2 linked regions of the Rattus norvegicus genome follow. The protein of the gene in region 1 binds, or shares a complex with, the protein of each later gene. Links are inferred from orthologs where the notes say so. Each region holds a gene or a part of one and is shown in the gene's direction. Other genes may lie near its edges.

The links.
Region 2: Ercc2 (region 1) and Polr2j share a complex: the UniProt entries of both Homo sapiens proteins name them as parts of the TBP-based Pol II pre-initiation complex. The link is inferred for Rattus norvegicus from reciprocal best matches to the Homo sapiens genes ERCC2 and POLR2J.

Annotation. Positions count from the first base shown.
Region 1 is NC_086019.1:88,159,795-88,164,146, forward strand, and holds the start of Ercc2 (general transcription and DNA repair factor IIH helicase subunit XPD), read left to right. Parts: upstream 1-1,547; 5' UTR 1,548-1,577; coding exon 1,578-1,582; intron 1,583-1,797; coding exon 1,798-1,897; intron 1,898-4,352. UniProt on the Homo sapiens protein: ATP-dependent 5'-3' DNA helicase. Component of the general transcription and DNA repair factor IIH (TFIIH) core complex, not absolutely essential for minimal transcription in vitro.
Region 2 is NC_086030.1:26,179,032-26,182,229, reverse strand, and holds the end of Polr2j (DNA-directed RNA polymerase II subunit RPB11-a), read left to right. Parts: intron 1-1,496; coding exon 1,497-1,671; intron 1,672-2,223; coding exon 2,224-2,259; 3' UTR 2,260-2,581; downstream 2,582-3,198. Other genes in the region: Lrwd1 (leucine-rich repeat and WD repeat-containing protein 1), read right to left, coding at 2,646-2,786, 2,881-2,993, 3,082-3,198. UniProt on the Homo sapiens protein: Core component of RNA polymerase II (Pol II), a DNA-dependent RNA polymerase which synthesizes mRNA precursors and many functional non-coding RNAs using the four ribonucleoside triphosphates as substrates.

The DNA of each region.
Region 1 (4,352 bases):
CATGGTGCCTCACAACCATCAATAGCTCCAGCACCAGGGGATCTGATGCCTTTTGACCTCTGTGGGTACCAGGTACACACTTGATGCACATACATGCATGAGGCAAAACGCACGCATCAAAAATAAAATAATTATTTTTTTTAAAAAAAAAAGAAAATAGCCAGATATTGTGGAAGCAGAGGCAGGAAGGTTTTTGTGAGTTCAAGGTCAACCTTGTGGATAGAGTAAGCTCTAGGACAGTGTCAGAACTAAATAGAGAGACTCTGTCTCAAAAAGAAAAAGAAAAGGAAGGAAGGAAGGAAGGAAGGAAGGAGCAAAGGAAGAAAGAAAAAGGTGAAGGTGACATTTGAGCAGGGATCCAGAGATAGGAAATAACGGACAGCATTGTCTAGCCTTGCTATCCTGACCCTCAGGAGTCTGAGGTGGGTGAGTCACGAGTAGGGGTGGGGGGTTGGGGGGAAGCCCAGGCTACAGAGTGAGCTCCTCCGGACCAGTTTGGGTTACATAGTGAGACAGTCTCAAAAGAGAGCAGGAGGGGGCTGGAGAGATGGCTCAGTGGTTAAGAGCAATGACTGCTCTTCCAGAGGTCCTGAGTTCAAATCCCAGCAACCACATGGTGGCTTATAACCATCTGTAATGGGATCCGATGCCCTCTTCTGGTGTGTCTGAAGGCAGTGACAGTGTACTCACATAAAATAAATAAATAAATCTTAAAAAAAAAAAAAAGAGAGCAGGAAGGGTTCATGAGAAGATTCATGAGGTAAACCGCCATTGTCTTTTGACCTGAGTTCAATTCCCACACATGGTGGAAGGAAAGAGCTGAACCAAATTCTGCAGATTTCCTCTTCCTTCCATAGGCCAGAGGTATTGGATTCCATGGAGCTAGTCCTAAAGGTGATCGATCGTAAGCTGCCTGATTTGGAGGTGGGGGGGTGGGGGCTGGAAACCCTAATCCTCTTCAAGATCAGAAAGTGCTTTTAACTACGGAGCGGTTCCTCCAGGCCCTTAATTAATGCATTTTTGTTTGTTTGTTTGTGAGCCTAAGCTTTAATATCTGAGTCATCTCTCCAGCCCATATTAATGAATGCTTAAAAAACACGTGGTAGAATCTTGCTAGAGTAAGAGTTCAATAAATAGGAGGAGCTGTTTTTAGGTTTCCTGTCTTAAGTTTGGATACCAGTATTTTATAAATCGTGCTTGTCTGGTACAATCTCGCCTTTGTAACTTAAAGGCTCCGAACAGCTTCCAATTCCTCTGTTATTTTCTCCTAAACTCTATTCCCGACTTGGACAACCAGGACAGAACCAGGAGGAGCAAACGTCAATGAACTGTAACGATTCTCTCGACATTCTACTTTCTGTGTTCTGTTCGAAGTCTTCGGCGATCCTCAGCGATGCCTTGGGCACCGCTTCTCTCCGGAGTCCGCCCTCTCACCGCTATGCGCACGCGCCAGTTTTCCGATTGGAGGAATGACGGGAAGACTCAGCCAATGGCATCGCGAGGAAGGTGGTGCTCTAGGTCACGCCCCCTCGTTGAATATTCAGGAGGCGGGCGAGTGGACGCCGGGACAAGCCGCCATGAAGTGAGATGGGGTCTCGGGAAGAGTGGTCGGCACTGCGGTGGGCGATGGGGCGGCCGGTGGGTGTAGCCGGGGCCAGGTCGCGGCGTGGAGAGGCTACGGAGACCGGTCCGGGTGGCTTCGGGGTCCGTGGCGGGGAGACGCCACGGAGGCGGGCGGGCGGCGCGGAGGCCGGGGCGGCTCGAGAGCACCAGGCACCGACGCCTCGTCGCCGCCAGGCTCAACGTGGATGGGCTGCTGGTCTACTTCCCGTACGACTACATCTACCCGGAGCAGTTCTCCTACATGCTGGAGCTCAAGCGCACGCTCGACGCCAAGGTGTGTGGTGAGGCCGTTCTCCTGGCACTCTGGTGGCTCCCGCAGGCTAACATCCTTGCTATCCCGCACCCTGAAAACCCAGGCAGGAGCATCGCTGCGAGTTTGGAGGCCAGCCGGGTCTGTACAGCGAGACTGTGTACTAAACAACAAATGTAATTAGCAGGACTAGGAGCCCAGTTGGTAGGGTCTTGCCTAGCTACCATGGATGAAACTCTGGGTTCCATTTTGGCACCGCATAAATTGAATGGGACAGTAATTACAATATGTTTGTAATTCCCGGAGCCGGGAGGCTCAGGAAAGATTTCTCGAGTTTGAAAGACAGCCTGAGTTTCATAGTGAGTTCCAGGCTAGCTAGGACTATATATAGGGAGACTGTTTCCAAAAACATTTAGCTAATAGGGGAGAGTCGGTTATAGCTCAGTTGGTAGAATACTTGCTTAGTGTGCCCAAATCCCAACACCAAATTAACACGGCATAAGATGATGCATACCTGGAACCCTAGCCCTGAGGAGGCTGAGGTGGGAGGAAAAGTGGAGGTTTGCAGCCAGTCTGGGTGAGTTCCAGGCTAGCCAGGGCTGTGTAGCCCGACCTTTAAAAAGATAAGGGCCATCAAGATGGCACAGCACTTCATCTTAGCAATCCTCCTGCCTTAGGTTCTTAGGTAGCTTGAGTGACAGGTTTTAATCACGCTGACGGGCAGAGGCTGATTGGTCTGTGTAGAGGTGTTCCTGGCAGTCACAGTAGTGGAGGGAAGGATTCCATATGTGGAGATCAGAGGGCAACTTTGTGGAGTTGGTTTTTCCTTCCACTTTTGTTTCGTTTTGGGTTTTGAGACAGGGTTTCCCTGGCTCTCCTGGAACTCAATGCATAGCCCAGGTTGACCTCAAACTCAGAGATCCACCTGACTCTGCCTCCCAAGTGCTGGGATCAAAGGCATGCACCAACACCACCCAGATATCCTCCACTTTAATGTGGGTTCTAGGGATCAAACTCAGGCTGTTAGGCTTGGTGGGAGCACCTTTACCTGCTGAGCTATTTCAACAGCCCTGAACACAAACTTATTTTTTTTTTTTTATTCTTTTTTTCAGAGCTGGGGACCAAACCCAGGGCCTTGTGCTTGCTAGGCAAGTGCTCTACCACTGAGCTAAATCCCCAACCCCAGAAACTTATTTTTTAAAAAAGTTTTTAATTATACTTACTTGGAATGTGTGTATACATGCTATGGTGTGCATGTGGAGGGTAGAGGAGTTGGTCTTGGGGATTGAACTCGGGTGATCAGGCTTGACCACAGGCGCCTTTACCAGCTAAGCCATATTGCTGGCCCACAAATGTATTCGTCCTCACAACCTTGCTCCAAGTAAGGCCTATAGAAGCAAGGATGTTGCAGTCCAGAGAGGTAAAGGTTCCTCCTGTCTGCTGCTCAGTAAACTCGTTAGCTGTGTCAGTAGGAGGGACACAGAAATAAGGTTCAGCCTGTAATCCCAGTACTCAGAAAGTGGAGGCAACAAGACTGCCAAACGTTTGCAGCCAGCCAGAGGTTCATAGTAAGTACTAGGCTAGCCAGGCCCTTGGGGTATAGGTGGGGATTAAGAATGAAAAATTTAGGGGCTGGGGATTTAGCTCAGTGGTAGAGCGCTTACCTAGGAAGCACAAGGTCCTGGGTTCGGTCCCCAGCTCCGAAAAAAAGAACCAAAAAAAAAAAAAAAAAAGAATGAAAAATTTAGGGCTTGGGGATTTAGCTCAGTGGTAGAGCGCTTGCCTAGCAAGTGCAAGGTCCTGGGTTCGGTCCCCAGCTCCGAAAAAAAAAATGAAAAATTTAGAAACATCCAGACCATGTCCAGTACAGAAGTCAGTGCTAGCAGCAGACCACTGAACTGAGAACAGGACCCCCTTGGGGGGAATTAGAAGAAGGAGATTGCAACCCCATAAGAACAACAATGCCGGGCTGGAGAGATGGCTCAGTGGTTAAGAGCACTGTCTGCTCTTCCAGAGGTCCTGAGTTCAATTCCCAGCAACCACATGGTGGCTCACAACCATCTGTAATGTGATCTTGGCGCCCTCTTCTGGAGTATATTCAGGCAGAACACTATATACACAATAAATAAACCTTAAAAAAATAAATAAATAAAAATAAAGAACAACAATGCCAACCAACTACATCTTTCAGGGACTAAACCACTACCCAAAGACTATACATGGACTGACCCAGGGCTCCAACTGCATATGTAGCAGAGAATAGCCTTGTTGGGGCACCAGTGGAAGGGGAAGCCCTTGCCAGAGTTGGACCCCCAGTTCAGGGGAATATGGGGGAGGTGGCAGTAAGGGGGATGGATGGGGAGAATACCCGTATGAGGGAGGCGGGGAGGGGATGGGGGTTTATGGATAGGAAACCGGGAAAGGGAATAACATTTGAAATGTAAGTAAAGTCCAGCAAAAAAGGAGGAGTGGGGATTGT
Region 2 (3,198 bases), on another chromosome or scaffold:
TCGCCACTGCCTTCCAAGTGCTGGGATCCCAGCTGCCTGCTGGCTGGCCTGCGTGTGTGGTGTACAACTGCAGCGAGCCCCAGCAATTGCCTCTTGGTCTTTTGGTTCAGATCAAGTCAGGGAGCTCTAGCAAAGCAGGGTTTCATTTTAGTGGGCATTAAGAGGCAGCATTAATGCCAGCAAGTGTTGGTGTTGTGGAACACACCCTTAGTTCCTGCCTTCGGGAGGCAGAGGCAGGTGGAGCCTATAAAGTTCAAGGCTAGCCTGGTCTACATAGTGAGCTCCAGCACAGCCAAGAGAAACTCTGAAAAAAGATAAAGAGGCCAGCAGAGGCATCTGCGCTGATGGTGGTTGCAACTCTTCTTTAGCCTCCATCTTTTGTCTGAGGCAGGATTTCTCTGTGTAGACCAAGGCTGGACTCAAAGTCAGATCTGCCTGCCTCTGCTCCGAGTGCTGTGTGCAATTAAAGGCGCGCGCCACCGCTGCCGGGCTAGCCTCCAACTTTTTAAAACTTATTTTGTGTTTTTTCCTTATGTGATTGCCAGTGCCCTCTATGGTACTGAATTCCCTCCAACAGCAATTATAGACGGCTCCCATGGGACGTGGGTGCTGGAGACTGAACTTAGATCCTCTGTAAGAGTCGTAAGTTTAAAAAGAGGGAAAAAAAAGCCTTGTTCCTGACTGCTTTGCCTTGTTAACCGGCTATGCTTGTCACCCGTGAAGGCCAGAAGGCATCAGGTCCTCCAGAGCCGGATGCTTGTCAGGTGCCGTGGAGCGAAGGCTCTTCTCTAGCTCAGCCTGCAGCCTAGGAAAGGTCTGTGTATGCGAGTGTCTGAGCTAAAGAGGATGTCGGCAGCCATGAGCCGCTTGCTTAGGCTCTGTACAAGGGCAGTAGGTGCTCCACCGCTGAGCCATCTCTCCAGTCCAGTCTGCCACTCGTGTTTGGGGGTCCTAGGGGGTGGATCACCTGGGACTGGGTGAGAGGTGAGCCACCCACTACGTGGGTCCTGGCAGAGCAGCCAGTACTCTTACCCACTGAGCCATCTCCAGCCCCCACTTCCACAACTCTTCACAAGGTTGGCTGGGCCTGCTTGCTGTACCTAGGGATGGGGCCGTTGGTTTAGGTGAGGCCTGCAGACACGGTCATGGGTTCTCAACTAATGTGGTTCCCAGACAGGGTCCTTCACCCTTGTAGACACAAGGTTCCCATATGGTCTTGGGTCCCTGTAACTTGATTTTCCCCACTCTAGTGCCTGGAGGGACCTCAGGCCTCATGAATGTTAGGCAAGTTACTCTACCATGGCGCTCCATCCCCAGCCGTGTCTTAAGACGGGCTCACTTAGCGGCCTAGGCTGGCCTTGAACTCCCAGTCCTCTGAGCTGCCAGAATGAGGGCCTGCACCACTCACTTATTCCCAACTGCGCGTGGGGGGCCCTTGGTCAGCACGGCTGCCAGGTTTGACCTCCCTCCCTCACTGTGAACTCCGCGTTTCTCAGGCAGCTGTTGAAGGACCCGCAGGTGCTGTTTGCCGGCTACAAAGTCCCTCACCCCTTGGAGCACAAGATCATCATTCGTGTGCAGACCACCCCAGACTACAGCCCCCAGGAGGCTTTCACCAATGCCATCACAGACCTCATCAGTGAGCTCTCCCTCCTGGAGGAGCGATTCCGGGTGAGGAGCAGGGGTTAGGCGGACACTGGTGGGCTGCTGCTGTGGCTGTGCGTTATGCTGTGTCATTTAGTAGTGGAGCTGCCCCAGCACTTAGAATCCCCGTGACATGTATGCTGGGGCGTAGCTTGGTTTCATGTTTACCTAGCACCATCAAGGCCTTGGGTACAATCCCTAGCACCCCGGGGTGGGGTGTGGGGTGGGGGCTGTCCCTGTGCCACTGGCTACTCTGGCTCATAAGGCCCAAGGACTCCAAGCCCTTGTCTAGTAGCCTAGCCATTCTTCCCAGGGTAGGAATGACAGTTTAGTCAGGTGCCCTCAGTGTAAGGTAAGCCACACTTTTTGATGCTTCACCCAATTGGGTGTGTCCCACACGGCTCCATCCCCGGCCCTCCGCAAGCAGATGCCACAGAGCAGGGTGGGTGAAGTCTGCTGAGGTATCTGGAGCCCCTGGTCTGCCTCCTGCTATGTCCTCTGGACCAGAGTCTTGGTGCCCTGCAGTCCCGATACACTAGGGTGATTCCAGCATAGTCACTGCCTTTGTCCTCCATCAAGGTGGCCATCAAGGACAAGCAAGAAGGAATTGAGTAGCAGCTGAAAGAAGCTCAGTGGCTGTAAGGCTGGTGCGTGTATCTGCCCTTCTCCGTCCACCACGATGGCGACAGCCACTCTCAGCTCTCCAGCTGGGCACAGGACACTGTCCCATTCTGTACATAGACTGTTATTTTCCTAATAAAGTACAGCAAAAGAGGGGCTGTGCGGCATGTGGCCTGTCACTGAGACCCAAACCACAGGCTGGGCAGAACCTGGGACTGCTGGGCCTGCCTGAGTTAAGCAAGGTAGGAGCCCCAGTGGAGCCTGTGTGACTGCACTCACTTCCGACAGTAGAATTTAATAAAAAATACTCACTGGTACAAACCCCTCTAGCACTAGGCCCAAGCTAATAAGCCATGTCCTGACACACTGCCTTGGGCGGGCTAGCATGTCTTCCAGATGGACACGATGTTGGAGTCCGTCAGAGCAGTGAGGTAGGTGAAGGCTGCATTGGCCACGACTGTGTTTACCATGGTCTTGGTCACTGGTTGGCCCAATGCTACTGGCTGAGGCCACTTCAGGATCTTAGGAGGGAAAAAGCAAATGCTAGGCTCCTGCCTATCCCACAGCAGCCAAGGGGTAACCAGGGTCTGCAGGGAGCCAACGTCACAGCAGTACCTGTGTTGGGGGCTGCAGAGTTGTTTCAAGTGGAGGTGGCTGCTTCAGTAGGTGTTCAACATCGTAGATCCACACACTGCCTTCCTCGTCTCCACACAGCACGAGGTTTTTGTCTGCCAGGACGAGCGGGAGCCTGAGATGGGGCCGGGCGAGGGCAGGGGCGGGGGCAGGAAGGGAGTGTAACGGGGTGGGCAGGCTCACCAGGACAGGTGCTCAGTGAGAAGTAGGCCAGGCTGGTGGGTGACCACTGCAGCTGGGCCAGGATGACTACAGGCAACACCGACTGGCTGCCCCGGCTTGCCCATGTCTGGCTCCAGC